Ovis aries: one gene and its partners. The protein of the gene in region 3 interacts with the protein of the main gene of each other region in a pairwise test. Links are inferred from orthologs where the notes say so. Each region holds a gene or a part of one and is shown on either strand. Other genes may lie near its edges.

What was found.
Region 1: the proteins of RBPMS (region 3) and SH3RF2 interact in a two-hybrid assay, tested with the Homo sapiens proteins (2 studies listed by BioGRID and IntAct). The two-hybrid records come from large-scale screens. The link is inferred for Ovis aries from reciprocal best matches to the Homo sapiens genes RBPMS and SH3RF2.
Region 2: the proteins of RBPMS (region 3) and NEU4 interact in a two-hybrid assay, tested with the Homo sapiens proteins (2 studies listed by BioGRID and IntAct). The two-hybrid records come from large-scale screens. The link is inferred for Ovis aries from reciprocal best matches to the Homo sapiens genes RBPMS and NEU4.
Region 4: the proteins of RBPMS (region 3) and ZBTB32 interact in a two-hybrid assay, tested with the Homo sapiens proteins (3 studies listed by BioGRID). The two-hybrid records come from large-scale screens. The link is inferred for Ovis aries from reciprocal best matches to the Homo sapiens genes RBPMS and ZBTB32.
Region 5: the proteins of RBPMS (region 3) and RHOBTB3 interact in binary tests that used the Homo sapiens proteins (3 or more experiments, as listed by UniProt). The two-hybrid records come from large-scale screens. The link is inferred for Ovis aries from reciprocal best matches to the Homo sapiens genes RBPMS and RHOBTB3.
Region 6: the proteins of RBPMS (region 3) and RUSC1 interact in binary tests that used the Homo sapiens proteins (3 or more experiments, as listed by UniProt). The two-hybrid records come from large-scale screens. The link is inferred for Ovis aries from reciprocal best matches to the Homo sapiens genes RBPMS and RUSC1.
Region 7: the proteins of RBPMS (region 3) and CSN3 interact in binary tests that used the Homo sapiens proteins (3 or more experiments, as listed by UniProt). The two-hybrid records come from large-scale screens. The link is inferred for Ovis aries from reciprocal best matches to the Homo sapiens genes RBPMS and CSN3.

What each region holds. Positions count from the first base shown.
Region 1 is NC_056058.1:54,888,132-54,892,328, reverse strand, and holds the start of SH3RF2 (E3 ubiquitin-protein ligase SH3RF2), read right to left. Parts: upstream 2,801-4,197; 5' UTR 2,719-2,800; intron 1,639-2,718; 5' UTR 1,526-1,638; coding exon 1,148-1,525; intron 1-1,147. UniProt on the Homo sapiens protein: Has E3 ubiquitin-protein ligase activity. Acts as an anti-apoptotic regulator of the JNK pathway by ubiquitinating and promoting the degradation of SH3RF1, a scaffold protein that is required for pro-apoptotic JNK activation.
Region 2 is NC_056054.1:177,599-181,612, forward strand, and holds the start of NEU4 (sialidase-4), read right to left. Parts: upstream 2,801-4,014; 5' UTR 848-2,800; coding exon 647-847; intron 567-646; coding exon 311-566; intron 1-310. UniProt on the Homo sapiens protein: Exo-alpha-sialidase that catalyzes the hydrolytic cleavage of the terminal sialic acid (N-acetylneuraminic acid, Neu5Ac) of a glycan moiety in the catabolism of glycolipids, glycoproteins and oligosacharides.
Region 3 is NC_056079.1:25,628,233-25,632,235, forward strand, and holds the start of RBPMS (RNA-binding protein with multiple splicing), read left to right. Parts: upstream 1-1,203; 5' UTR 1,204-1,651; coding exon 1,652-1,717; intron 1,718-4,003.
Region 4 is NC_056067.1:45,734,545-45,738,691, forward strand, and holds the start of ZBTB32 (zinc finger and BTB domain-containing protein 32), read left to right. Parts: upstream 1-1,347; 5' UTR 1,348-1,352; coding exon 1,353-1,381; intron 1,382-2,481; coding exon 2,482-3,465; intron 3,466-3,722; coding exon 3,723-4,147. UniProt on the Homo sapiens protein: DNA-binding protein that binds to the to a 5'-TGTACAGTGT-3' core sequence. May function as a transcriptional transactivator and transcriptional repressor. Probably exerts its repressor effect by preventing GATA3 from binding to DNA.
Region 5 is NC_056058.1:92,713,629-92,717,128, forward strand, and holds part of RHOBTB3 (rho-related BTB domain-containing protein 3), read left to right. Parts: intron 1-496; coding exon 497-617; intron 618-3,500. UniProt on the Homo sapiens protein: Rab9-regulated ATPase required for endosome to Golgi transport. Involved in transport vesicle docking at the Golgi complex, possibly by participating in release M6PRBP1/TIP47 from vesicles to permit their efficient docking and fusion at the Golgi.
Region 6 is NC_056054.1:105,492,978-105,497,249, forward strand, and holds the start of RUSC1 (AP-4 complex accessory subunit RUSC1), read left to right. Parts: upstream 1-1,472; 5' UTR 1,473-1,611; intron 1,612-2,252; 5' UTR 2,253-2,338; coding exon 2,339-3,704; intron 3,705-3,991; coding exon 3,992-4,272. Other genes in the region: FDPS (farnesyl pyrophosphate synthase), read left to right, coding at 74-151, 253-387, 918-1,118. UniProt on the Homo sapiens protein: Associates with the adapter-like complex 4 (AP-4) and may therefore play a role in vesicular trafficking of proteins at the trans-Golgi network. Signaling adapter which plays a role in neuronal differentiation.
Region 7 is NC_056059.1:86,392,717-86,396,708, reverse strand, and holds the start of CSN3 (kappa-casein precursor), read right to left. Parts: upstream 2,801-3,992; 5' UTR 2,737-2,800; intron 306-2,736; 5' UTR 301-305; coding exon 244-300; intron 1-243. UniProt on the Homo sapiens protein: Kappa-casein stabilizes micelle formation, preventing casein precipitation in milk.

The DNA of each region.
Region 1 (4,197 bases), on a different chromosome or scaffold from region 3:
ACGCCCACTTAGACACACTGACTCTGGGGATGACAGCCAATAATCCTCTTGGAGCCACAGGACCATGATCTTCTCTTGAGTTATCCCCTTCCCCAGCTTCCCAGAATGAGGCTCACAGGCAGGTCATATAAAGTCCCGAGGATGTGCCCACAAGGCTGGACAGGACGATTCACGTTGTCCAAACACAAAATGCATTACTGGGTGATCTCCTGTGGCTCACCTGGGGCGCTTCATTTTTCATGGCAGGCTCTGATGTGCATTTTCTGTATGGTTTATTCATTTTGTAAAGTAAGACACATCTTTGGGGCTTCTGTACATGTCGGTTGTACTTCACAGCCCAGCCTTTCCTGTCAATCACTCCACCCACATAGATGCTTCCTTCCTGATCGAACTTTGTGCGTCCAGTGTCTTGATAACTTTGAGTGATTGTGAATGAGCATTGTCATCATGGCACTTTATGACTGGGAGTGGCAAGATGGATTTGGGTAAAATGCAAACAAAACCTGACATTTAGTAACTTCTCTGAGATTGCAAAAGTGACAAGCAGTTGGATTTGTTTTTCTTTTTCTCATCCTCTGTGCATTTCCCATGCCCTGGTTTGGCCTCAGAACAGCAGAAATGAAAGACCAAGAATATAATCAAAGGACTTCCCAGGTGGTCCAGTGGTTCAGAATCTGCTTGCCAATTCAGGGAATACGGGTTGGATCCCTGGTCCTGGAAGATCCCACATGGCAGTAGTAACTAGGCTGTGTACCACAACTACTGACGCAGGCTCTAAGCCTGTGCTTCCAAACAAGAGCAGCCACTGCAATGAAAAGCCTGCACACCACAAGAAAGACCCAGTGTAGTAAAAAATAAACAAATAAATAAACAGTCAAGAAGGCTTTCCATGTTCTACCACCTTCTGGACCAGAAGCAGGGAGGACCTGGGTAGCTTTAAGAATTTTAAAAGTTCCTGATTGGACTGGATAGGCTCAGGGTTCCACTGAGTCTCAGTACGACAATCACCACCCACAGAAACTTATCCTCAGGGAATCCTCGGCAGCGGCTCTTTGAAACAGAGCTAAAAGAAGAGAAGCCCCAGCTGCTGGCGCGCACAAACCCAACCTCCAAGGAAACACGAAGGAACAGATGAGATCTTTCTTACCCCATCCATGTGGATTCTGACGTTAGGCACCAGCCGGAAAGGACTGCACTGCGGACCTCTGGGGTGAGTCCTGCTCCTCCTGCCGTCCTGCGGGGTCAGCACGCCAGGCCGGCGGAAGGACCCCCCTCTCCCCGAGCCCTGTCCGGCCCGCACGCCGTCCAGGAGGCGCACGAGCAGCAGGTTGGCTGGCAGCGCCTCGATGCTGCAGAACACCAGGGTCCTGCACTCGGGGCACCTCAGCTCCTTGTGGGCCTTGAAAATCCTCTGGAGACATGGCTTGCAGAAGGTGTGCTGGCAAGGGAGAACTTTGGCGGTGACATCGAGCTTTTCAAGGCACACGGGACACTCCAGAAGATCAAGTAACGTCACGTCATCCATTTTATTTTAAAACTCCAGTCCTGACCTGGAGGGGCAGAGTCCACATGGTCTGGTCAGCTGAGCCAGTGGGGGTAGAGACGGGGCTTCTTGAGAGCGTCAGGATGCCCGCTTGTCTGAAGGAGAAAGGAAGACGGAAAAAATTGTGATTGCCTTCAGAGGTATATCCCACCTACAGGAGGCAGAGCCTCATAAGGCGGTTCGCAGGGACTTTGTTTCCGCACCCAAGTTTCAGATGACTCATTCTGATTCAGTGCTAGCAGGTAGAGACCTCGACTCCTGCCTGCTGGAGGATGCGAGGGAGCAGCTAATACAGCTTCTGACTGCTTGCCGGACTAACTTACTCATTGCCTCTCCGTGAGCAAGGCGAGAGAAGGGAGACAGAACTGACCCGGGGCTCCAAGGAGGAAGCTTTCCAGCAGTCCGTCTGGATCTCAAATGAAAGGCCCCTCAGGATGTAATTTCCCTGAAGCTATTTTCTCTCTTTCTCTTCTTTAAGTGTATCTGTTCTCTGCATCACACTGATAACAAGCTGTTTACATAAGTGTATGGGAATCTCCCGTAGTTGTAGAATTCTATCCTTCACAGTACATCTTCCCCCTTTATTTTGTTCTAGCAATGTACAATTTCTACGAGAACCTAATTTTCAAAAATTGTTTTGCCTCAACTCCAGGCTGTGGAGCTTGAAAGTTTTTTCTTTCTTTTCGTTCCTCTTTTTTTCGCCTTCTTACCTTGATTATCTTAGCCTCAGAGACACCATCCCTCCCATAGATAAAGTTGCACAGCCTGTTTTGTTACTTTGACAACTGTTCTGTTTCAACTGAAGCAGATAGGAATTTGGGATTGTGGTCACAGCCTGCAAGAACCAAGATGGGGCAGCCAATACAGGGGTGTGTGTGTGTGTGTGTGTGTACGTGTGTGTGTGTGCGCGCGCGTGTGTGTGTGTGTATTCTGAACAGTCTCCTTGTGGGTGTCTGAGAAGTCCCCCTCTTAAGGAAAGTGGCTTGGGAACAGGTCCCGGTCCCTCTCAGCTCCAGGGCTTAGGGGAACGCTAGCCGGAGGGTTGGCACGAGCCAGTGGCCCCACTGGTGTAGACAGGCAGACAGGACAAGCCAGGCTGGGAGAAGGCGCCCGCCCTCCGGAGACAGCTCCAAAGATGTCAGCACGCGGAGGTGTGCGGGGTGGGGGCCACTAACCTTGAGCTGGCCACCCGGGTCTGAGTTCAGCTCAGCACTGTCCTCGATGCTCCGCCAGGCTCCCTCCACCGGCTTCCGTTTCCCCTGGAGCTGCTGCTGCCGCCGCTTTGAAAACTTTAGCTCGAGTCTTAACTCATTTCAGGGATCGCCTTACCCAGCCCGGTTAACGCTTTCACCGCCGTTCTGCCCTTTGCGCTCTCACGCTCTGCTACCAATCATCCTTCCTTTGTGGGAGTCGATTTCAGGGAAAAGATTACAAGCGGGTAAAATACAAGTCAATTGCCTCTAAGGTTAAGTACCGACCAAGTTTATACTTCCCCTTCCTCATTTTCTGTCCTTTCCCGGAAATTGAAACACACTCAAGTTATGAACATGCCAAGGTGATTGTGTTTATTTCAAACCTTTATGAGGATTTCCTGAAAAGTTCAAACGTATTAAGGTAGCTGTGAACACAAAGATAAACGGGTCACCTAAAAAGTACTGCTCTATAAAATCAGCCAGTCCTTGAACTATGAGATTTGAGACGGACTTGAGCGATCTGTTTGCTCAATCTGATGAAATTAAAAAAACGAAACAAAACAACAGTGTTGTCGTAGTCCAGACACATCCTTGAAAAATCAAAGGACAGGAGGGCTTAAAAAAAAAAAGGAAAGTAGAAATAACCTGGTGGTCTAGTGGTCGGAATTCTGAACTTTCTCTGCCAAGGGCTGGGTTTGGCTCCTGGTTGGGAAGCTAAAATCCCACAAGTCACCAAGCTATGTAGCATGGTGCAAATAATAATAATAAATTTAAAAAGGTAAAAAGAAAAAGTAATATTCCAGCTTCTCTTATCCTACCCACTGGAGCCTTTTTTAGCCCCAAATAATGCTTATACTTCTATTTCTTGATTTATCAATAGTATATTTCATTTAACACTTTAACACTACACTACAAAGTTATCCAATAAAGTAAATAATAATAATCATCATTAATACCTAACAACAGAGTAGTGGAGCCCTTATCTGTGCCAAGTACTGTTGTAAATATTTTATCTTCATGAACTCATATAATCCTTCTATCAGCCCAATGATACACTGGCCTCTTACCCTCATTTTATGAAGAAGGGAACAGAGACCTGAGACATTAAATAAGTCATCCCAAGAGACACGGTGATCTGTGACCTTCACTACCATGTCCTGTGGTGACACAGCTTTAAGAGGAGGAGAGATGGTTGAGGTGAGCTGGACCTCATCTAAGACAGCAGAAAGTCAAGAGATAATGACGAAAGTGACCGATCAAATTCTTTGGCAGATGAGGCAGCTGGGAGATTCTTGAAGTTGGGAGATTCCTTGAAGTTGCCCAGTAAGCTAGGGGCAGTGCTGGGACTAGAGAGTGTGTCTTCTCTCTCAGACGTAAGGCTGACAATTCCTTATCAGGCAGAAAGCAAACAGATGGTGGTGATTTGTTTGTTTTAGAAAGTTCTTTCGTGTCAGTTCTGAA
Region 2 (4,014 bases), on a different chromosome or scaffold from region 3:
CAAGAAGACATGAAAGCTCTGGGGTCAAGCCAACCCACCCGCTGCAACCCTAGGCGGGCGGGGTGGGGGCGGGGGGGCGCCGAGGAGGAAGGGGTGAAAGAGTGACCGTCCGGGGCTTGGGGCCAGCAGGCTCGGTGCGCTGGCAGAGGCTCGGGAAGGCAGGGCCGGACGGCGGCGCTGGGGCTGGGAGCGGGGCGAGGCGGATCCTCCAGCCCGATACCCGCCACCTGCCCCGGATGCACACTCCGCCCCATCCCGGCTCAGACGCCCCGCCCCTCGCCCCTTGGCAGGCCCGGCCGCGCCCACCTACCCTGCTCAGCGCTGCCCACCGCCTCCGCCGTGAGGTCCCGCGCGCCGCCCCAGCTGCGCCCCGCGTCCCGGCTGGTCACGCAGCAGAGGCGCGCGGCGTTCCTGCCCGCGGCGATCTGCGCGGCCTCGGGGGTGCGGCCACGCACGGCGATGAAGAAGAGGAAGACCGTGGCCGTGCGCTCATCGTGCACGGGGCAGGGGTTCATGGAGCGGTGCTCGTCCAGGGCCGCCGTCCCCAGCACGCGCGGGGCGCCCCACTGCGGGGAGGGGCCGAGCCTCAGCCCCGCGTCTCACATCCGTCCGCTCGGTCCCCGAACCCGCCCCCCAGCGCGCTCACCTGCACGGAGCCCCCGGCCAGCGCGCCGGTCCTCTGCACCAGACGGTGGGCGTGGGCGTCGTCGGGGCTGAGCCTCTGCTCTGCGAAGGCCAGCAGGGAGGGCCCGGGGGTCACGAGCAGCAGCGCGGGCACGCGGTAGGTCAGGCCGGTGCGCTCGCGCTGGAAGAGGACGGTCCGCGCGGGGACACGCGGGGTCCCCATGCTCTGCGGGCGGGGCGAGGACCCTGCGTCAGCGGGTCAGCGGCAGGCATTCCTCCAGGCTACCTGCTGGTCCCTCCAGATGGGTGAGGGTTTTCTGCGGGTGCCGGGGTCCCACTCACCTTCCCGTGCCCACCCCAGAGACCACCCTGTCCCAGGCCCCTCACGCCCCCCCTCCCCAGTCCAGGACAACCCCTCCCCGACGACTGCAGCTCAAATGTCTTCCCAGCGTGGCCTGGGCAGCCTTTGCGGGGGCTGCCCCCCTCCCAGGAGGATGCATCTGAGGGAGGCTCGCGAGGGCGGGGCCTCGGGTGGGGCCTCGGGTGGGCTGCCCTGGGCTACACAGGATCTGGCCTCCTGCACAGAGCTGGGGGGCCCCGGCTGTATCCAGGGACAGGACTGAGTCCGCTCCCCTCCCCGCAGCACAGAGGGGTCCCGAGGCTGCGACGGGAGCGAGGAGTGCCTGAACAGTGGAGGCCTGAGAGCCAGACACACAGCGGTGACCAGGCCGGGTGCTGAGGCGAGGTAGTCCCGGCACAGCGAGGCCGGCGCATCCAAGGACACAGTCGGGATGGAGAGTGGGGCAACCAGGACGAAGGCACACACTTCCATGCCTGAGATCCCCCAGGCAGACACACACTTCCGCTCCGGTTCACCTCTGCCCAGGACCGCCTGCCCCTGGGAGGTTCACGGCCGGCCCCGCCCCGCCCCCACTGAGCCCTGCAGACCCCGCCCCGCGCCCCACTGAGCCCTGCAGACCCCGCCTCACTCCAGGCCCGCCCACCCCCCGCCTGGGGGCGGTGCCAGAGGAGCGGCTTCCTGCGTCCTGGAAGCCCCGGGCCACCCCGCTCGGCATCCAAAGGGCGATTGTGCCCCAGCAGGAAGCAGGTGCCGGTGCCGCGTGCCCGGCAGGCTGCATGGACACAAGGGGACATTCTCTCCCCTGGGGACCCCGCGGAGCCGATGCCAGCAGAAGCACGAGGCGCGGGCCCCGCCCCCACTGCGGGCCCAGGCAGCGGGAATGGACGGTCCAAAGGCCCGCTGGCCAGTGCGCCCCCTGCACAGAGCCGGTGGTGCTGCAGGGCACCCAGGGCCCCCGCGCCCGGGCCAGGCCCTGGGTCCCTGCAGAGCCCCAGAGTCTCGGGGGGCCACTCAATCTAGGCAGGAGAGCAGGCCCTCCAGCTCACGGCCTGCTCCGTTGGGCCAGTGTAGCGGGCTCCAGGCGCTTGGCTGCACCAGGATGGCTGTGCCCCAGGGTTCAGGGGAGACAGCACCCATCCACCCACCCCAGCATGGACCTCCCCAGGGGCGACGCATCACAGAGGGGGAGGCAAGGCCTGGGGAGGAGAAGCGACCTCCAAGACAGTCTGGGAGCCCCTGGGGGTCCCTGCGTCCAGGCAGGGCCCGCACTGCAGTCCCGCAGCCAGTCCTGCCTGGGCCCCGCCCTGGAGCTCGAGCCAGCCCGGACCCCTGCCCACACCCTCCAGGCTAGCACACTGGTCCTGTGGGCCTGCCGGCAATGACACATTCACAGGAGGTCACAGGCCCTTTGCACTCTAGACATGCAGACCTGGCTGTCCCCTCAGGATGGGTCTCCGGCCTAACCCAGGTGTCCCGTGCCCTGTCCAGGGCGAGGCCTCAACTATAGACACTCCTGCCTGCTGGAGCGTCGCCTCCAGGCCACGTGAGCAGCAATGCTCCCTGGGCCCCGACATGCAGTCGACACCCATCCCATCCTCTAAACCTACCCCGGGGCCCTCAGGAAGTCTTCCCGTGAGAGAGGAACCTCATCCACAAGCCCATTGCCCCCACCCCAAAGAGGAGCAGGTCCCGAGCCCCAGGGGCCGGGTAGAGGTGCACAGAGAGGGGCTCACCGGGACAGCAGAGCAGTCGTGGGGTGGCCGCAGGAGCGCCTGCCTCTCCAACCCGCTCCCGGGGAGACAGAGCCTGCTGTGTGGCCAGGAGCCGGGTGCTGGCCGCGGCCCAGGGCTGCGTCAGGGCCCAGGACCGTCCCACCAGCTGTGTGGCTTTGGCACAGCAGAGATGGGGCGGGAGGCGAAAGGGCCCGCGTCAGGACAAGGATGCCCGGGGCCCCCCTCTGCTGACTGACTGGCCTCCCCCTGGGCGCTCATCCTCCAACAAGGCCATGCAGGGCTACAGCTGACCTTCCTGGGGGGCTCGGTGTGGAGGCCCAGAGACGCCTCCCATGAGGAGGCGAGTGAGTGCTCTGTGGTCCTTCATCCCCGCCCCCGGCACCCAGGGTGCCTGGCCCTTTGGCCCTCACTGGGCTACCCGTCCTGCCCCGTGTCTGGGCTGCCTTCTACCCGCCACGGCCATGGCGGCTCACCAGAGCCAGGCCCCCACAGCTGGAGGAGGGGCCCCTCCGCAGAGCGGGCTAAGACCTGGCACACACCATTCTGCCCACTCCGGGGGCCCCAGGATGTCCCCAGCGGGCAGCCAGCGCCCACATAAAAGCCCAAGGGTCTGCGGTGAGCAGAAAGGGGAAGACAGGTGTGAAGGGAGGGTTAGCACGGCCCAGAGTCTCTAGAGCCCATCCAAACTGGAAGGGAGGGCCAGCTCCCTCAGAGAACCCAGGCTCAGGGACACGGGCCTCCAAGCCTCTCCAAAGCCCGTCGGGCAGCCCCACGGGGCAGGGCACTTGCGGGCCATGGAAGGAGGCCCCCACCCCTGGGGGCCTACACACACACACACACACACACACACACACACACACACACACACACCCTGGTCCCTCTCTCAGGCATTTTAATGTTTTAGTTAGTGTCCGCTTTTTTAAAACATGGAGATCTTGCATAAGAACCTGCTTCCCTTGAAAAACCACTGTCTCACCCCAGCTTCCCCTGCACACCCACCCCAGTCAGCTGCAGCCCCCCCACCAACCCCGCCTCCAACAACATGCGGCTACAGCCCCTTCGGAAAGGAGACCCACAGAGTCCGGGCCTCCAGCTTTATTGGCCGCATCAGACTCTGCACGTTAAAGACTCTTCTGGACAGACAAGCAGACGGATCGTTCTCAAAGTTGTCTGCTACAAACTACATGCACTTCACCTTGTGATAAATACCCCCAATTTTCCCTCCAAAAAGACCGTGCCAGTTGACACTCCTGCCAACCTCAAAGACAAGAGTAACCGCCACTGACTCTCCACGGC
Region 3 (4,003 bases):
GGGACGGGGGAGCCTATGGGGGTCGCACAGAGTCGGACACGACTGAAGTGACTTAGCAGCAGCGGCAGTCACTCAGTTTGAAAGCTTAAATGATACAATATTGGAAAAGTTCTCGGTGGCGCAGGAAAAGTGGAAATGAACCATGTCAGCTTCCAAGTATAGCCAACAACTGGGTCCGAATGGGTGCCAGGTGCTATAGTTTTATCTATCAATTTACAATCTCCTCTAATAACAAGCTTCTGGGAGAGGAATAGAACTACTTCTATTTCAGAGGAGGAAGCAGAAACCAGGCAGTTCTTCCTTCGGCGGGTGGGGAGCCAACAGGCATGGTACGCTCACCTCCCAGTATGCTGAGTCTCCCTTCTTTCAGTGGCTTTGACCCTCAGATTATGTCTTGGCCTCCAGCTCGGCTGGCAGTGAGAAATGGTCCCTCAACCAACAAATATTTATTGAGTGCCTACGATATACCAGGTAGCGTTTTCAAACTGCCATGGGATTCAAAAGACAAACAGGGCCCGGTCTTGTCTTCCAAGAAGGATCTCCCGAAAGGGTGAGAGAGGCAGGTAAACAATTCCAGGACAGTCTGATAAGGGCCGTAGAGGAGTCCGAGCAAGGGCGGCCGGAGAAGTTTCGGAGGACCCGGCGCGGAGATGGGGTCTGAAGATGCGCCCTGAAAACGCCGGCCCGGCCCCGGCTGCCCCCGGACGTCACCCCAGTTCCCGCATCCTGTCATTACCAGCTGCCCACTAGGTACTGAAGAGGAGGGGGAGGGATTGGGGAGCGAATCCCTCGTGAAGAGCGAGCAAGCACACAAAAGTAACACATCACACTTCCCGGGCGCCCGAGCCCCGCTCCGAGCTGCGCGCACGGCCCGGCGGCCTCCAGGTGCCAGGCGGACCCAGCCTTCGGCCCTCCCCCTCGGCCCTCGCCCTCCGACCTACCGCGGAGCCGGGGGCCGGGGTCCGCCGCTTCCGCCCGCCGCCCGCCGCCCCTCCCCAGCGCGCGCCATCCGGCCGCGGGGCCGCAGCCCTCGGCGCGGCCCCTCCTCCCGCGGGGGGCTCTGCCGTCCCTCGTCCCGTCCCTCCGGGCTCCAGCCGGCAGCCCACGTCCAGGGAGGGCGGGGAGAGGAGGAGGGGAGGGAGGAGGGAGCGGGGGGAGGGAGGCAGGCGAGAGAAGGGGAGCTGCTCGGAGCCCGGACCTCCCAGAGCCAGCCAGGAGCGCGCACTCGGCGGCTCTCCGGGTCCCCGCCGCCCCGCACCTCCCTCCCGCTCCTCTCGGGGTACGCCTCGCCCCTCCTTCCAGCAGCTGCTACGCCCGCGCCGGCGGCCGCCCCCCAGCCCCTCTCGGCCACATCCCCAACTCTGCGGACTCACTCCCGGGACGCGCGTCCTCGCCCCGTCCTTTCTTCCTTCCTGCCTTCCCTCGCGCCCGCCCGCCCGCCCCAGGTCTCCCTCGCGGGTCGCGATTGTCTCCGTCCCCTCCGCGCTGCGCCGGCGCCTCGCCCTGCGCCGTCTTCCCCTCGCACTTCCTGAGTCGCCGGCCGCCGCTGCCCCGACTCCAGCCCGCGGCGTCCGGGGAAGGGAGAAGTGGGCGAGCGCGCCCTCGCCCAGCCCCGCGCCCCAGCCCTGCCCGGCGAGGGAGGACCGGGAAGATGAACAACGGCGGCAAAGCCGAGAAGGAGAACACCCCGAGCGAGGCCAACCTTCAGGAGGAAGAGGTACGGAGCGGCTCGGTGCCGGGGCGGGGACGACCTGGGACGGCGGCCGCGGGCTCTGCCCAGAGTGCGGGTGGCTGGCCGGCCGGCCGGCGGGGCGCGGGTCCGGGGGCGCCGGGCTGCGCTGGGGAAGGGGCACCGAGGGTTTGGGAATCGTCCTGGCGTGGAGACGCAGCCCCAGACTGCGGCCACGGGATGAGGGTGTATCATCGGAGAGTGTGTTTTGGTGGGTCCACGCGCGTCTGCGTGCCTGAAAATTGCGTAACTTTGAGGACTTTCCCGAGACCTCTGTAAGTATAATGGTCAGCTTTGTTTGCCCCGGATTTTAAAAGCGGAATCGAGAGCTGACTCCTGGGTGACCTCAGATGATTGGGACCCGGAGGGTCAGCACTTAGTGCTGGGTCCGGGGCTGGAAGTTGTGGGGTGTGTGTTTGTGTGGTTTAGGGAAGAAACTCGGGGAAAGTTCTCATGAAAAGACACCTTCCGTTCCCTGCCCCCCCCCAACCCCCACAGTTTCTATGCGAAAAGTTCTCGGTGAAATATCTTTCCCAGCTAAGGCGTTTTGGATTAATAGATAACTCATCAGCCGCATTCTTCTCTGATGAGTCAAAGACCCCGAACCTGGCTGATTAGGTTTTGTAAATTTAGGGGCGTTGCGGTTGTGGGGCGCAGCATGCTGGAGTTTCAGACTTTGCAACTCGCGAAGTGTTGATCCAGACTGTTTTAATAGGACTTTGACGTCTGAGCGTAAATTTTATGTGGTGCGTCCCTAACAACGGTAAAAATGTTGCGGCTGCAGAGCGTTCCTTTGGTAGAAACAAAACTCAGTACATGTCGGGGAACTCCTGAACAATCCTTTCAGAATTTTGTAGTTGGGATATTTGCGTTATCTTGTTAAATGGGGCTCTGTACTTGTAGGTGCATTATCTAGAACCCAGTAAACACTGTTTTCCGCCTACCTTTTGAAAAGCCCAGGAAATTGACTTCTGAAACATTCCAAAAGGAACTTAAGAGTATGTGTAGATGCAAGAAAGTATGCAGTCTAGATAAAAGCATTCTTACAGAAAGGTGAACTGATTTCTAAGCGGTTAGGGTGTTGAGATGATTATGGAAATACTATGTTGTGTGTAAACTAAAATTCTGATTGTGAAGCCCAAGGTTGCTGAGGACTTAATACACTTAAGCCCTCAGCACTTGTAAAATGGGAACTATTTAAATGGAGAAGACAGGAGAGCTCCAAGACCAAGCCAAATATTATGCAAAATAACACAAGATTTTACTCTTAACACAGTTGTTCGTGGGTGCAACCCAGGTGAAATGCTGTTGAGCCTGACGTTGCCGTCTCACCTGAGCAAATCGCCTTTATTATTATAAACTGTTCTGAAAAGCATTATTTTTACATGCTGGTTTTTTAAATTGCAAGTGATGGAATAGTACTGACATTTCTTCTCTTTCAGAAAGATGGAGACTTGAATTGCAAGTTCTGCTTTTTTTCTTGAACCTCACTGGCTACTTTCCTATTTTATTTTCCCTACCACTGAAATAAAATTTAAAAATAAAAGGTAGTTTTTTTTTTTAAATGCTGGAGTATTTTATTTTTTATAATTAATAAAAAAGGTAGCTTTATTTAAGGAGTTGCAATGGCTTCAGAAACCTTTCTGTTTCATTAGATTGGCGATCTGTTGACTTCTAAGGGTAAGACTGTATCATACATATGAAACCATCTTTCTCTCTTCACCAGAAAGAGAAACTTGTAAAAGTTCATTAGGGTAAACCAAAGACTATTTTCTTTTTTTTTTTTTTTTTTGGCACACCATAAACTATTTGACAGAATTAAGCATAGAAAACTCAGGTTTTTCTGTTTGACCCAGCTCAGCTTAACTGCCTGCAGCACTGGCCTGTTTGCCCAAACCCTGGGTGTCTTTATATGTGCGAGGTTGGGTGCCAGTAAAATCACAGGTGATCCCAATACAATGGCTGTCTCTTAACCTGTCCTATTGCCTTGTTAAGTCTTCCTTTATCAGGTGGAAATGGCCCGTGGTTCTAGAAAGTATCTGTCTTTATAGCTAGATACTTGTTATTTTAAAAATAAGGGGACAGATTAAAAAAATAGAACCCAAGCTGTACAAAAGATGGACTAGACAAAACAGATACACCGTGAAGGGAGAGGTTTTATGATGTTAAAAATTTGGTAAAAGTTGGCCTGAATGATCTCGATAATTTTGCCCTAATTCCCTGTTTGGGGTTTATGTTTTGTTTGTGAAAAACTCCTCCTTTTTTCCCCAACCC
Region 4 (4,147 bases), on a different chromosome or scaffold from region 3:
CCCTCTCCCCACACTATTATTGCTCCTCCACTGGCCCCACCCATTGGCACACCCTGTCTGATCTAGGAAGGGATAACATCTGCTTGGACCCAAGCTAGAATGAGAGGTAGAATGAAGGTATGTTAGGTCTCAACAGAGAGTAGAAGGGTGGTCTGAACATTTGGGGGTCCTGAAGCCAAAAGGCGAAACAGGAGTTTGAGAGACATAATATTTGAGTCTAGGAGGGAATCAGACTCTAGCATCTAGTAGAGAAGCCTTGGGGAAAGCAGACTGGGTCTTGTCATCAGAACAGCCTACCAGTGCCTGACTTGTTACTCTTCTAGTTATTTATTAGGCATATGTCAAGCACATATCGTAAGCTATCTAGCAATACCTGTTCTATGCATGAAAAATCTGCAAGAAATAATAAACAAAAAGAAATGTGAGTCTCTCAGACCTCATCTTTTCCCCAGGTTAAGGAGTGCTAAACTGTGAAAAGAGGGCAAATCTCCGAGGACCTTCATCCCCTGGGCAGGAAGTCAAAGAAACCCCGCAAGTCCTGATTTCAGAGAAATGTCATTTGTCACCAGCCCAAGAAAAGTTTTTCTCTTTGGAGACCACCGCAGGCCCTTCCTGGGGTTGCCCCCTTCAAAGCGTGATGGGAGGATCTGAGTCACTCACATACCCTGTCCCCAGCGATGGCCCAGATGGCCTGGGTCATTCCCACAGAGGAGTGGAAGGTTCCCAGTACCAAGTCAGAGAGAGGGAGGAGGAGGCATGCTTTTGGCCCTCTTTCGCTCTCTTCTTAGAATCCAGATGTTTCAGTCCTTTTTACTTTTGAGGTAGTATAAAGAGCTTCCAGCTGCTAGAGCTCTACTGACACCTCTAAGAAACAGAACTAATACTATTTGAATGATGCTACGTACTGAGAAACCACTTTCACATACATCATGTCATTTCATCTTCACCCCACCTCATAATGAGGTAGGCAGAGCTTATCCCTATTTCACAGATGAAGTAACTGAGGCTCAAAGAGGTGACTTGCCCAAGGTGACTCAACTAGCAGATGGCAGAGATGAGAGTCAAATGCAGGTCTGATTATCCCAAAGTTCTTATTGCTTCAGATATAATTCTTTGACTCCAGAAATTCACAGATGAAATAAGACCAGAGGTCAGGAGGCAGAATGCTTGAGTTCTGGAAGGAGAGGAGTGGTCTCTCCTGGAGGGGTGAAGCTCAGCCAGGGGTGTAAGACCACACCCCTTGGGGGACTGTGGCAGACTGATACTTGGGACACCCAATGGAAGACTGTGAAGTCAGGGGCGGGGCTAGCTCCAGAGTAGGGGGGCCAGGAGCCCCAGCAGCAGTTCAGAGCATGCGGTGTCCAGGAGGAAGCTACAACCGGTGAGTGGTTGCTTCTCCCCAACTGAGACTTTCCTCCCATTACATTCCTCTTTCTGTCCACTTCCTGCCAGCCTGTACCCCTCCCTGTGAGGTGTCCAAGTAGTAATTCCTCCCTCTACGGGATCTGTACTCAGGGTGAGCCTACACTTAGGAATATGCCTGCTGGGCTCTGGGACACTTAGGTCTGTCTCTTTGTATCTGGGTTCCCAGTTCTCTTCTTAAAAGCCAAGGTGGTGGTTTTGATGTGTGACAAACTTCTGCCTTGTTGGGTTCTGTCTTTCTAATCTTCACTTTTGGCTTATGAAAAACAAAATTGAACTGTCTCCTTATCCTTATCTTGAGAGGAAACAGCCTCTCCCTCCACAGTTTCCATTTCCCTTTCGCCTGCTTCCTCCAAGGTCAAAGCCTTTTCCGACATCTCTCCATCCCTGGGTGAGGAGCCTTCTCTCCTGTGGGTTCCAACCTGCTCTCTTTATCTCACTGCATGGGAGCTTTTGGTCACTTCCAGTTCTTTCTCTGAGGATGGTTTCTAGAAGTTTCATCCTGAGGGAGATGATCAGTTGATGCCTTGAGCCTGCTTTCTGCAGCTATGACCCCATCTTGCTGCCCTTTTTTCCTCTCAGGACCCTCAGCCCCACATGACAGGCTTGCAGGAGGAGGACACACTGGCTTTCTAAACTCCCATGAAACTGTGTCTAGCTCCACCCCTAACTTACAGGGCTGACTGGGTTTTGTGGTGATCCTGTCTGGAATGAGAGCTGGGGCCTGTTCGGGGGTCTTTCCCTGCAGAGGAGCTTGGAGAAGCAGAAATATCAGTGTCTGCTCTCCTTTAAGTCAGACATTGCCAACTCTGCTCTCCCTTAAGTCAGACATTGCCAACTGGCAGGACCCATCTATCCACTACTTGAGATAGCTCTTCAATGTGCAATCCTTGTTCTTTTAAGTCCTGAATTTGGTCTAATTTCCATTCTCTCACCACCTCCACACCTGCTATGATTCTGAACAGCCTCGGGTTTTCTCTTGGGTCATTTTTTCTGCTCCATTCAGGACAGAGAACTGATTCAAATCCAGCAACTCACTTTCTTCCCTCACCTCCACAGGCTTGAGTATGCGGTTCCTCCCTCCCCTTTTCACCACGGACCCTACACTGTGGCCTTTCTCTCAGAACCTCTGAGATTGGTACCAAGGCAAGGCACAATGCCCCTGTCCCCAACAAGACTGCCTAGTCCCTATGCTTCTGATCGGCTGGTACGGTTAGCAGCCAGGCTCCGGCCAGCACTATGTGATACCCTGATCACAGTGGGGAGCCAGGAGTTCCCTGCCCACAGCCTGGTCCTGGCAGGTGTGAGCCAGCAACTGGGTCGCAGGGGCCACTGGGCTGTGGTGAAAGGCATCAGCCCTTCCACCTTTGCCCAACTTCTGCACTTTGTTTACGGGGAGAGTCTAGAGCTGCATCCTGGGGAACTGGGGCCCCTTGAGGAGGCAGCCAGAACACTGGGGGTGCAGTCCCTGGAGGAGGCATGCATTAGGGCTCGAAGGGACATGGCTAGAGAAGAGCTGGGTCCAGGGCTGAAGAACCAACAGGAGGAGCTAGAGAAACACACAAGGGACTCGATGAGAGGCGTGGGGGCCTTTGGGGAGAAGCAGAGACCAGAGAAGTTTGTTAGAACTGGTGGGAAAGAGCAGGAGACGTTGCACAGGCCGCGGCCGCCAAGAGAGAGCCCTGACATGGCAGAGGCAACTCTGGAGGGTCGAGGGGAGCAGATGAAACCAAAGGAGCAACTCCACCAAGCCCTTGTTGGCCATGGCAGAGTCAGTGGGAAGCAAGAAGTAATCATGTGGTTGAGGGACAGTGCAAAGGGCTCTGAGGAAAGTCTGCGGGAGTTCCCTGGCCCCCTTCCCCCAGCAGGTTCCTTCCAAACTGGCACCACCCCCAGCCCTTGGTGGGCTGAGGCCCCTTGGTTGGGGGAGGGCCAGCCTGCCCTGTGGAGCATCCTTCTGTTGCCACCTAGATATGGCACTCCCTTCTCCCATAGCATCCCTATGACTGGAGCCTGGCAAGAGGTCTGGCCTCGGGACCAGAGGTGAGTCGAAGGGCTTATGGAAGACCTCTGGCTGGGAGGGAGTGGTTCAGGAGAGGCAGCAGTGATGGGTGGAAGGGTACCACATCTCTTATCTCTACTATACATTTCCTGAGTTGTGGTAGGACAAGAAGTTGTCACCACAGGGCAAGCCAAAGCCCAGGCCCCACAGAGGACTTATGACTCCTCCCTCCCCAGAAAGGGATCTGCAGGATCCCAGGTGTAACCAAGGCTGTAACTCTTCCCCATCCCACCCCCAGGATCCCACTGCCCCTAAACCTCCATAAAGGCCTTTGGAGCCAGAACCAGCTGGCCTCCTCCAGCCCCACCCCAGGTAAGCCCCTCACTGCCTGGCATGCACCCTGTAACGTGGTCTCGAGGCTGGGACTGAGGCCAGGGCTCCAGGAGTCCAGCTTGAGCAGGGCGCCTGCTTCACTCTGTTCCCTCCAGGTTCCCTCCCCCAGGGCCCCACACAGCTCAGCCCTGGGGAGCCGGAAGAGTCTGATCACAGGCACACAGGTGAGTAGAGTGAGGGTGCTTTTGCCTCAGCGCCACTATGGCCCCAGCCTGAGTGTTCCAGTGACCCGGCTCTGGGAATCCCAGCCCTGCCCTCCTTTGCCTTTTGTTCCCACAGGTAAACTAGCAACCTGTGTGAGTCAGGTCGGCACCGCAAGCCGTCCATCTC
Region 5 (3,500 bases), on a different chromosome or scaffold from region 3:
CCTCTCGTATTTTCTTTTCTTTTTTTGGAAGTTATTTTATTTTATTTTTTCTTAACTTTTATTTTTACTTTATTTTACTTTACAGTACTGTATTGGTTTTGCTATACATTGACATGAATCCACCATGGGTGTCCATGCGTTCCCGAACACGAACCCCCCTCCCACCTCCCTCCCCATAACATCTCTCTGGGTCATCCCTGTGCACCAGCCCCAAGCATGCTGTATCCTGCGTCGGACATAGACTGGCGATTCGATTCTTACATGATAGTATACATGTTACAATGCCATTCTCCCAAATCATCCCACCCTCTCCCTCTCCCTCTGAGTCCAAAAGTCCGTTATACACCTCTGTGTCTTTTTTGCTGTCTTTCGTACAGGGTCGTCATTGCCATCTTTCTAAATTCCATAGATATGTGTTAGTATACTGTATTGGTGTTTTTCTTTCTGGTTTACTTCACTCTGTATAATCCTCTTGTATTTTCATTTCTCCTCATAGTTTAATTGCCTAAGGAACTGCAAAACCTATCAAGCCAGAAAACCTCTGTGGTTTTATAACACTTCCCTCAAGTTTTTCCTTAATAAACCAATGCTTGCTGATGTTGTCTTCGAAATACAAGGTACGGTTCAGTTTTTACAAAGTTCATCGTTTGTTGTAGTTGCTTGTTTTAACTTTGTTTCAATTTTGAGTGTTTTGGGTGAAGGAATGACTATTCTCTATTGTAGGATATAGATTAATAGTACTTGAATTTCTACAAATTTCTAGAAAATTTCATTTTCTAGGGAAATGAAATATTTTATTAAAATAAGAAAATAAATTTATATTTTCCCTAGTTCGTTGTTATTGTTACCCAGTGCTTCGTTAACTTTCAGGGCCTAGCTGGGGATAGAGCGATGTTACCGATCACCCACTTGTGTATTTTGTCTGTGTATTTCTTCAAGATCGTAGTTTTTAAATCATTTGAAACTAGCCCCCTCAACATTTAACGTTACATCTAGTTTATGTTTTCCACTCTTTTCCTTTTTATTTGAGCAAAAGGTGTCTGTAGTTACTACTATATTTACTTCTTAACGACTCTCAGAGCTACTGCTGCTTTTCAGCTCTGTTGGAAAGTAATGCTACCTAATTTTAATAAAGACGAGCTCTTTTAATGCTCATTATTGTTATTCGCTTGGATACTTTGTCACTTTAGTAGATTGAATGCATAGTCTTACAAATGAATTGTGAAATACCTTTAATTAGGAAGAGTTGTTTCAAATGAATTAAGTACACTTTCAGGTGGGCCGTTACTAAAAGGAAGATTTAATTTAATTTTATGGTAGAAATGCATGGCAGCTAATAGTACCTTACTTTTTAAAAATGTTCACCAGAAGGATTTGTTTTGCTTTTAACTCTGGTCACTTGCCAAGACAAACAGTGAATTGGAAACTTTCCAAAGTGCCTTTGGGTAAGCGGCTGGTAGTAGCTGCAGTGTGAGTGCGGGCTACTGAGAATGGGACAGTCAGTGACCTTGAAATTGTGTAAAAAGGGATTCGGAGGAAAGAAGGCTCACAGTTGACCAAACTTCCTTATAATTTGCCTAGGAGGCACTGACGCAAATTATTGTACACTATTATTTTGCAATATTATTTTAATATTTTGCACTGTTATTTTAGTGTAACCTGTTGGAAAGAGTTTCATGGGGAATGTGCAGTGCATGAAAATATATGTTACACCGAGAGGAGAGAGAGCAGTGATACATAGCCTCCTGCTTTTCTTCGGTGATCCCACCCACCGACCCCTCGCAGGCACCTGCTTGCACCCCCACCGTGGCAGCAGCCGGACCCGCAAGAGCCCCCTGTAATGCCTGCGGATACCGCATGGCAGCTGCTCTGATGCCCTTTGTAGCCTCGTCAGCTCCACACCCGAGGCCCCCAAGGGAGTCAGGAGCGGAGAGGGGCAGGAATGGGTGAGAGCAGGGTCCTTCAGCACCTCTGCCGTCCACTGGTGGAGAGGCTGCCTGGCTCTGAGGAGTGGGGAGGGCAGCTCCCGGAGCTGTGGTCACGGCTCTGGGGAGGGTCTGCAGCCCTAGCTCCAGCCTTGGCTTTGCTTTCCAGGCAGTGTGTGTGTATCCTTGGGCCGGTCCTCCGTATGTCCGCCTGGAGTCTTCTCATTTGCAAAGTGAAGACCGTGAATCATGTCGATTCTAAAAGGTCCCTTCTAGTGTTAAGCTTGATGAGACGGTAGTGACAGAGCAGGTCAGGGTGTTGCTTGGAAGCATTTTTACTATTTAATAGGTTTGGCTGTGTTACTTTGCTTTTCGGATCCTCTGTTTCCTCACCTGTAAGATGGGGATGCTCATGTCTACCTGGGAGAGGGTGACTGGTCGTGAGGGTGGAGATGATGGTACATGGAAAGGCGCTTTTAGAGGCCTGATAGGCAGATCACATTGCCGTTTTCTGTGCTGAATCCAGGGCTAAGCAAATCCTTTTTTAAAAATGTTCAGACATCACTGATACTGAGAGTGGAGTTGACATGAGATATAAAACTATGACTGAAATAGTCACCAAATGTACACATATACAAATGTATAAATGTATACAATGTGTACGTAAGTTTGTGTCTTTTCCCATTAAATAAAACTAGTCACAGTAAATTTTTGGATACGATGTAGAAAGATATGTTTCCTTTTGACATTTGAATCTGTGCCTTATGAAAAATGCTATTACAAAGCTACATTCTGTCTTGTTTACTTAGTACATATTCTGAACTTCTCTTGAGCTAGACAAGTTTCCTGTTTTCAGGATAAAACAAAAGAATGATTCTAAAAATTTCATTTTTGAAACTTGGCAAGTAGTGTGAAGAAGAAGGTATAAAAAATGTAGTATTTTAGTATGTAATAAAAACAAGGATCCTTGATAATCTGTGCAAAATTACTAGAAGCTGGGCTTTAAATATTGTTTCACTCTTAAAACTCTTTTCTGAAAAAAAAAAAAAAGTAACAATTTAATACTACAAAGGAAAGTTACTTTAGGTCTTGATGTTTTCAAAGGACATATTCATCTGTTAACTAGAAAACTGAGGTCTTTTCCCCCCTGTGATTCTTCAGCTCTATCCTATTGCTGTTGTGTAAATAATCACTACCTTATTTTCATTTACATGTTTTATACTTTGCTTATATATATATACACAGTGTTTAAAAATGTGGCTGTACTGAGGTATTGTATTACAGTCTCACAGTAGAACAGTTTATAACACCAGAACAATAGTTTGAAAGGGTGAGAAACAGAAATGAGTATTTTCTTGATTGGAGGTGTAATGGTTTTTCACACTCAATTCCAAGCTTGAAGTGGGCCTTAAAAATGCTTGAAGGCCGAGTGTTCTGTTCTTGGTTTTGTAACTCCATTGTTACCACAGTTATCAACAGGAAATTTCTGTTCAAGTTTCAAGGTTACCCATCGTTTCTTTCCCATCTACTGCTATCTACTAGGTGTTTATTTTATTTTATTTTATTTTTTAGCCA
Region 6 (4,272 bases), on a different chromosome or scaffold from region 3:
TTCGTGGGAGGAAGCAGCCAGGAAGATGCAGGCACCTCTGGTGTATGACTTGTTAACCCCCTTTTCCCTGTAGGCGGGCATTGATGGGGAGAAGGAGCATGCCAATGCCAAGAAGATCCTGCTGGAGATGGGAGAGTTCTTTCAGATTCAGGTAGGATGGCATGGGGCACTGGCAGAAAACAGGCTCCAGCTTTGCTCCTTCCCTGCCTTACAGTCTCTTCATTCCTTCTTTTCTGCACCCCCTCTGCCCAGGATGATTACCTTGATCTCTTTGGGGACCCCAGCGTGACGGGTAAGGTCGGCACAGACATCCAGGACAACAAGTGCAGCTGGCTGGTGGTTCAGTGTCTGCAGCGGGCCTCTCCAGAACAGCGCCAAATCCTGCAGGTGCCCTAGCGTGTGCTGTGGACCCCCAAGCTGTGGACTAGGGGAAAGAGCAGTGGTTTTTCAATGGGCGTGATTTGACACACACACGCACACACACACGCCCGCCCGCCCTGGCATTTGACAGTGTCAGGAGACATTTATTTTTGTCACTATAACTTGGTGTGTGTGTGTGTGTTTGCCACTAGGATCCCTAGTGGGTAGAAGCCAGAGATGCTGCCAAATACCACACATACAGTAGCTTCCCACAAAGAACTATCTGCCAGAAATTTCAAATGGGCCGAGGGTTGAGAAACCCTGGGGTAGTGGAAGCTGAGGCCTGAACCCCACTGACTGAGTGAGGATTTGGGATGGGGACTGGGGGTGGGGGGTGCTGGAGTTCGAGATCATAGCTACTCAGAGACCCTTGAAACGGGAGGCAGGAATGGAATGAATAAATGGCATTGGAGAAGTTCTGGATGGGGGAGTGGAGGGGACCTAGAGGTGTTGGGGGGAAGGATAATAAGCCCGTTTTCCTACCCCCGGCCCTTTAGGAGAACTATGGGCAGAAGGAGGCTGAGAAGGTGGCCCGAGTGAAGGCGCTCTACGAGGAGATGAATCTGTCGGCTGTGTACATGCAATACGAGGAAGACAGTTACAGCCACATTATGGGTCTCATCGAGCAGTATGCTGCGCCCCTGCCCCCAGCCATCTTCCTGGGGTTAGCACAAAAGATCTACAAGCGGAAAAAGTGACCTAGAGTCTGTGAAGGTGGGGAAGGGAGGCTTCTCAATAAATTATTGTCTAACCTGTGGTTCTTCCGTTTCTGCTTATGCCAGCCAGGGGCGCAGCTTTGTCCAGAATGGGCAGGGTGGGGGTCAGTTGCATGGAAGCCGGAACCTCAGGCTTTGATTTCAGGATCCCCTTGGGACTAAAAGGTCCCTTCAGTGGGACCTTAGAAAGCATCAAAAGCCCTTGAGCTGGGCCTGGGTGGGTGACACAGGCGAAAGCGTCAAGCGCTGGGGGCTGGGTCTGAGCCTCGCCACGCCCATGCGTGGAGGGGCGCGGCTGCGCAGCGCTGGCAGGTCGTCCCAGCCCCCCTCCCCTCCAGTCTGCGGGCTGGGCGGGGACCGCAGCCGCGGAGCCGGATGCGGCTCCAGACGCCGGAGCGGCTGCAGGAGGACCCCGGTGAGGATGGCTTGGCCTGCGGGTGTGGATGGATGGATCGGGGCTCGCGGGTTGGGGCAGGTGAGGGGAGCAGTAAAAAATAGAGAAGGGCTGGGGTGGAGCTGCACCATAGAGACAAGTGCAGAGAGAATGGGACAGACATGCTGGTGTTCGCAGCAGGGTGAAGGTGCACCGCGGCTGTAGGCTGGAGCCTGGAGCCTGGAGCCGAGGCCCGTGCCGGCCGGCCTGCCCCGCTGGAGTTGACAGGCTGATGGTTGCTCCTGCAGCTTGGGCCTTTCCCCCACGCCTGCCCCTTTCCTGCATCAACCAGCCGAACGCACCTCCCCCAACCCCATTTCAGATCATCTGGGCGGGGCCTCTCGACCCCTTCCCCTGGGAGTGGGGCTGGGCCAGATTGCAGCAGAGAGGACCAGGGTCCCTTCTGGGTCCCATCCTTTTACAAGCCTCCGCACCTCCAAGGAGATCGAGGACGCAGCCGCATTCTCTGACCCTCCCCGCCCCATTCTCCGGGGTGGGGGTTACATTCGACTCCACCTGCAAACACTGCAGCGGAAACTAATAGCCAGTCGATGTCTGTTTGCATCTCATTTAAATATTGTCCAAGGCGCCCTTCCATGCCTGCCCCAGCACCTAAGTCACCTTGGTGTTCTTCCCGCGGCCCGCACCCTCCCTGGCTGGGTTTCACTATCCCTCTCTTCTAGGGCTGCATCTGCGGTTGCCAGGCAAGTGGATGTGAGAGGGCTGATCCTCCTCATTCTCTAGAGGCCATCCTGTCGCCGCCGGCACCATGCTGTCCCCTCAGAGGGCTTTACTCTGCAACCTCAACCACATCCACCTCCAGCATGTCTCTCTAGGCCTGCATCTGTCCCGCCGTCCGGAGCTCCGGGAGGGGCCCTTGAGCACATCCCCTCCCCCAGGGGACACCGGGGGCAAGGAGAGCCGGGGCCCCTGCAGTGGGACCTTGGTGGACGCCAATTCCAACAGCCCAGCAGTGCCCTGCCGATGTTGCCAGGAGCATGGGCCAGGCCTAGAAAACCGGCAGGACCTAGCACAGGAGGAGGAGGGGGCTGCCTCTCCCTCAGACCCGGGCTGTTCCTCCTCTCTCAGCTCCTGCTCAGATCTTAGCCCCGATGAGTCCCCCATCTCAGTCTACTCCAGGGACCTCCCTGGCAACGAGGATGTTCACCCTCAGCCCAGCATCGTTCCCCTGGAGCAAGGCTCCCCTTTGGCTTCTGCGGGCCCAGGCACCTGCTCCCCAGACAGCTTTTGTTGCTCTCCGGATTCCTGCTCTGAAGCTTCCTCTCCATCCGGTCCAGGCCTGGACTCCAATTGTAATGCCCTGACCACTGGCCAGGACCTCCCTTCCCCAGGGCTAGAGGAAGAGGAGGAGGCCGAGGAGCAGGACCTCCCTACCTCTGACCTCCCAGAGGCTGATGATGAGAAAATCGATGCTGGGAAAACCGAACCCAGTTGGAAAATCAACCCCATTTGGAAAATCGACAAAGAGACAACTGATGCTAGCTGGAAAATCACTGAGAACAATAACTCGGGTTGGAAAGTCAATGGGAATACTATTGAATGTTGGAAAACTGAACCTGGAAAATTCGACTCCAGTTGGAAAACCAATACAGAAATAACTGATTCTGGTTCGAAAACTGATGCAGGGAAAATTGATGGGGGATGGAGAAGTGACGTCAGCGAGGAGCCGGTGCCCCACCGGACAATCACGTCCTTCCATGAGCTGGCCCAGAAGCGCAAGCGGGGCCCAGGGCTGCCCCTCGTGCCGCAGGCCAAGAAAGACCGCAGTGACTGGCTCATCGTCTTCTCTCCCGACACCGAGCTGCCCCCCACAGGCTCGCTCGGCAGCTCCCAGGCACCTCCCCGGGAAGTTACCACCTTCAAGGAACTCCGGTCCCGAAGCCGGGCTCCGCCCCCGCCAGTCCCGCCCCGAGACCCCCCAGCTGGCTGGGCCTTGGTTCCACCTCGGCCCCCACCGCCACCCGTCCCTCCTCGGAGGAAGAAGAACCGACCTGGGCTGCAGCCCATAGCAGAGGGGCAGCCCGAGGAGGGCAGGGCGGGCAGCCCTGCTGCTGGTGAGGAGGCCCCAGCTTCAAAGGAGCCGGAGCAGCCAGGTCCTCAGGCTGGCACTGAAGGTAAGTGGCCATAGGAGGTGGCGAGAGGAGGGCTGGCCTTTGGCCTCCCTACACCTCCAAAGCTTCCGACCCGACCCCCTGTCTGCCCTCCATTCTGTGTGTCCTATCCCACCCATCCTTCCCGTCCCCTGCTACCGGGAGCGCTCCGGGAAAGGGAAACTGGGTGGGTCCTTGGGTTACGGGGGGACTAACTCTTTGCTCCCTCTTTCTCCCGCCCCTCCTTGCCTGGCTGCCCATCCCGCTGGCCTCCTTCCCCTCCGCATCTGCCCCGCCAATCCCGCCTGCAGCCGGTCCCCTCCTGCTCCCTCGGCCCCTGGTTTTTCGGTTCTCGGCTGACGGGCGCCCCCTGTTGCAGGGTGGGAGCGCGGCCGCAGCTGGGTCTCTGCTCCTGGCGCCTCTGGCTAGCTGGCCAGGCGCTGGGCTGCGGCTCCTGGGGGCACCGAGTACCCCGGAGGAGCAGCTGCTGCCCGTTCGCCTGTCCCCGGTGGGGGCCTATTCGCCTCCGGCTAGGGGGGACCTTCCCTGCCTGGCCAGCCCTGAGCTGGCACTGCTGCTGTCCCCGCTCTTT
Region 7 (3,992 bases), on a different chromosome or scaffold from region 3:
TTTCTAGCATATGAGAATTTTAAAGGTTTTCTCTAGATGACAAAGTGTGATTTCTTTATTCCTAGAAACCAGAGGAATATCCAGAAGATTATGACTTTAATAAGAAAAATAAATGTAAAAATAAATTACTTATACAGCTATTTTGTTCTATAAAATATAACTGTATTTAGAAATTTACACAATTAAAGCCCTTAAATAAACTTAAAAAATTTGATACAAACTGATTAGATGAAATTAACTCACCAAAAATGGCAGGGTTAATGCCAGGATAGTCACAACTAGGAAAAAACTCTTCATCATTGCACCTAAAATTAAATTAAAAACATTAGATTAACAGGATCTGTTGCTGATAATTTAGGAGTGACTTGGAGCAATGTTTTCTATGGTTTAAGGGTGGGAAAAGCCAGATTTAGGGGAAGATTTAGCCAATGTGAAAAATCTATTTTATCAAAAGCTTTAGAAAAACCAAACGGTAGGAAATATATGAATTTAATTTTTGGTTATGTTACTGAATGTCTCATTACAAGGTTAATCCTGTATTCCTTTCATTGTGCCAAGAACATAGTAGGAACAAAGCTCTGTGTGTCAGTGATGAGATTATTAAGGTGAATTGGTCAAGTAACATGAATTTTAGGAAGAGTTGCAACGTACACAAATCACTGTTAGATAAGAGAGAGTAGAAAGTGTCACACAAGTGCTGTTCTACAGATAGAAGTGTTCAGTTAAGAAATCAATAAATTATTTCTGTAGGACATAGCATATAGGTGGGACTTGCCCATGCAGAGATTAATAGAGAGGAACTTCAAGGAAAAGAGAACTCCTTAGGAATATCCATGGGCATTTGAATGGAGAGAAGGGAAAGACAAAGTTGGAAAGAAAGTTTAGGGCAGAGAAAGATGAGGCATTAAATGCCAGGCCAAAGAATTAGATAGCTTTCCTAATTGAAGTTGAGTGGCTTCAGATAAGAAACTGAGGTGACTACATTGCTTTGGAGAACTGATCTCTATCTTGGGCTCTATTCTCTACTTTGAATAAGTATTTCCCTTTATCTGGCCCTAGTATTCTTCTTGCCTATAAATAGAAGTTTGAACTGAAATTTCTGAAATTCTCTGATTCTGTGATTGATCTCATAGGAATACTTAAAGAGATTGGGGGGAGTATCCTGAAACTTCATTTTTCATAATCTGCTTCTCCAGTAATCATAAGTTATATAATTAGCTTGATCAATTTAATGAAAAAAATATAAGATATGACAATTACAGTTTTCTGGATGAAATATTTGAAGAAATAAATTAACCTTATCTTTCTAAAGACTCGAGTATAGGGTAGTAATACCTATTTATTTGATTTTAAAAGCTAAATTGTCTTTTTAGAAAGATACACATAACATTTTAGATTTTTAAAATATTAATAAATTTTGCATTTATAAATTAAATACTACATCTTGTTACAGCCATTGTATCATCATACTTGTATAGACTTGAAACCTGCAAACTGAGTTTTACAGACTAGGGTCACAGAGTTAGAAGTTCAGGCTTGATAAAGAGCGCACACCAGACTCAACTCACTTTTGATTTCCAGGTAAGAATGATTAGAAAGGCTGTATACTAAACTGACTTCAGAAACTCTGATGGAATATCATTGAATGGAAAAGAAGTTAGTGTGAGTTCAAATTTGAGCAACCTACAGCGTTGATTGTTTCCTCAAATTTCATTAAATAGAATGGAGCTCCTTATGAATTCTTCACTTGCCAGTGAAATTTTTCTTAGTTGAAATAGATTTAATATATAACATTGTGTTAATTTAATGTGTCTAACATATTTATTTAATGTATTTGTGTTTTGTAATTTGATTGCAATTGTATTGATAATTAACAACTCTGTCATGTCACATAATTATCATTTCTTTTTTGTGGTGGAATAATTAATATCTAGTCTTTTAGCAAGCTTGATGATTATAACACATTACAGTGAACATAGAAAAAATACTGTACAATAATCATTGGCTAACTTTTAAGATTGTAGTCTGAACAACATTTCTATGGTGAATCATGGAATCTTTTATAATTCATGCAAAATTATATCACAAACACTCATACAAAAACATCTTGTAAAATGGTAGTAGTTATTCCCTTTTAAGCATAAACAGAAACCAGAGAAATAAGACCATTCTTTACTTATCAGTTACTTAAAACAGTAAGTACTTGAATTTGCCTTCATAACTTGGCAGTCCAGAAAAATTTGTGAAACAGAACTATTCAGCTTTCATGAGGGATGTATAAGTCCTGTTATTTTTTAAATTTGTATACTATAACAAATGAAATTATAACCTTTAGACAGAAATAAAAATTTGAAATTAATTAAGGGATCAATCTGGATTATCCTGTACTTTCATCTTCCTAAAAAGTTAGCCCTCCACATTTGTCTGTGGGAATAGATTCACTGTCTTGAACATACTTTTTTTTTTTTTAAAGAATCTACATTTTCTTCAATACTTTAGCAAGTATCAAATCTTGACTTTAACCCACAGTGAAGTTAAAAATAAATTTGATCATAACATTATACAGAATCTAATGTTTAGATAGAAACTAATATCATAATGATGACAAAGGATATTCAAGCTTAACAATAAAAGCCAAAAGGAAGAAAATGTTCTTCTAAAATAACTTTGGTGGTGTAATAAGCACAAACTGCCGTGAAGAAGAATTATTCTCTTAGAATGTTTTAATGTGATTACCTTTCCTTGTGACTGTCAGCTCTTGCTTGGCAGTAGGTTCAGTTGGCCTTTCAACTGTAAGGAACACCCAAGGTAAATAACCAGGGACTAATTAAAGGGTGTTAGTGTCTTGCGTCATGAGATTTATCTTCCTTTTACGTTGCACCAACAGGAAGATGACAGAAAGGAAAGATCTGATGATAGCAGGGCCATCTTTACCTCAGTCTCAGTTAATGGAATGCAAAGAAGGAAATAGAGTTTTCATTCATAAGATTTGAAAACAGATTATTCACCCTTTTTTAAGACTGAATTTTTATGTTTATGAAAAGATATAGAGGATTTTTAAGAATATTCATTGTATTTTAATCAACTAATTTCACCTATTTGAATTTAAAGATATTATTGCCATAGCACTTTTACATTTCAAATGTTTCTTATTATTTCAAGAACCTGGGTATGAAGTAATTCTACATATATTATGGGCTGTGGTTGGTCGTCCTCTTTCTAGAATTACAGCCATCAGTATTTAACAATTAGAAAACTGACCATCTTTTATATGCCCAAGAATAAATTAATGTTAAATCCAAATATGAAACATTAATCAATATAAAGTAGGGATCCATTTTCATTTTATTCTTCAGTAAATTCATCATTTAAACACCTATTTGTTGATTGATTAATTTCTTATAAATCAAAGTTGCACTTAGATTTTTAAAAAAAATTTTGAAGGAGTCTCCATAATGTTCTCCATAGTGGCTCTACCAGTTTACTTTGCCACCAACAGTGTAGGAGGATTCCCCTTTCTTCACATCTTCTTTAGCATTTATTATTTGCACTTAGATTTATAAATTTCAATAATATAGGTGAACCATTCTGGCTGTACAAAATTAAATAACTAAATTCAGAATAATTGTTCTGTTTCAAAGACGGCTTATCCTGACTTACAAAGTATATATCTTAAAGCCACCAATATGGGGGGTATTTTGGTAAAATACCACTAACCAAATAATTTTCCTAGATAATTAAGGAAAGAATATCTGCTTTCGCTTACATTTCTCCACAAAAAAATGTTAACTGTGATTTCATTTTATCTATGAAGTCCTGATCAGATTGTGGTATTTACAGGAATCGATGTAGGACTGCCAGGATACAAACAAGAATTAATAACAGCATTGTGTTGTATTCCTCTTTTTCTTAGAAGTATTTCATGTCTTGGAAGGTTCAGAGTGATGGTCATGATCCTAAAATGTTTATTCAGCTTGTACAGAGTAAATTGA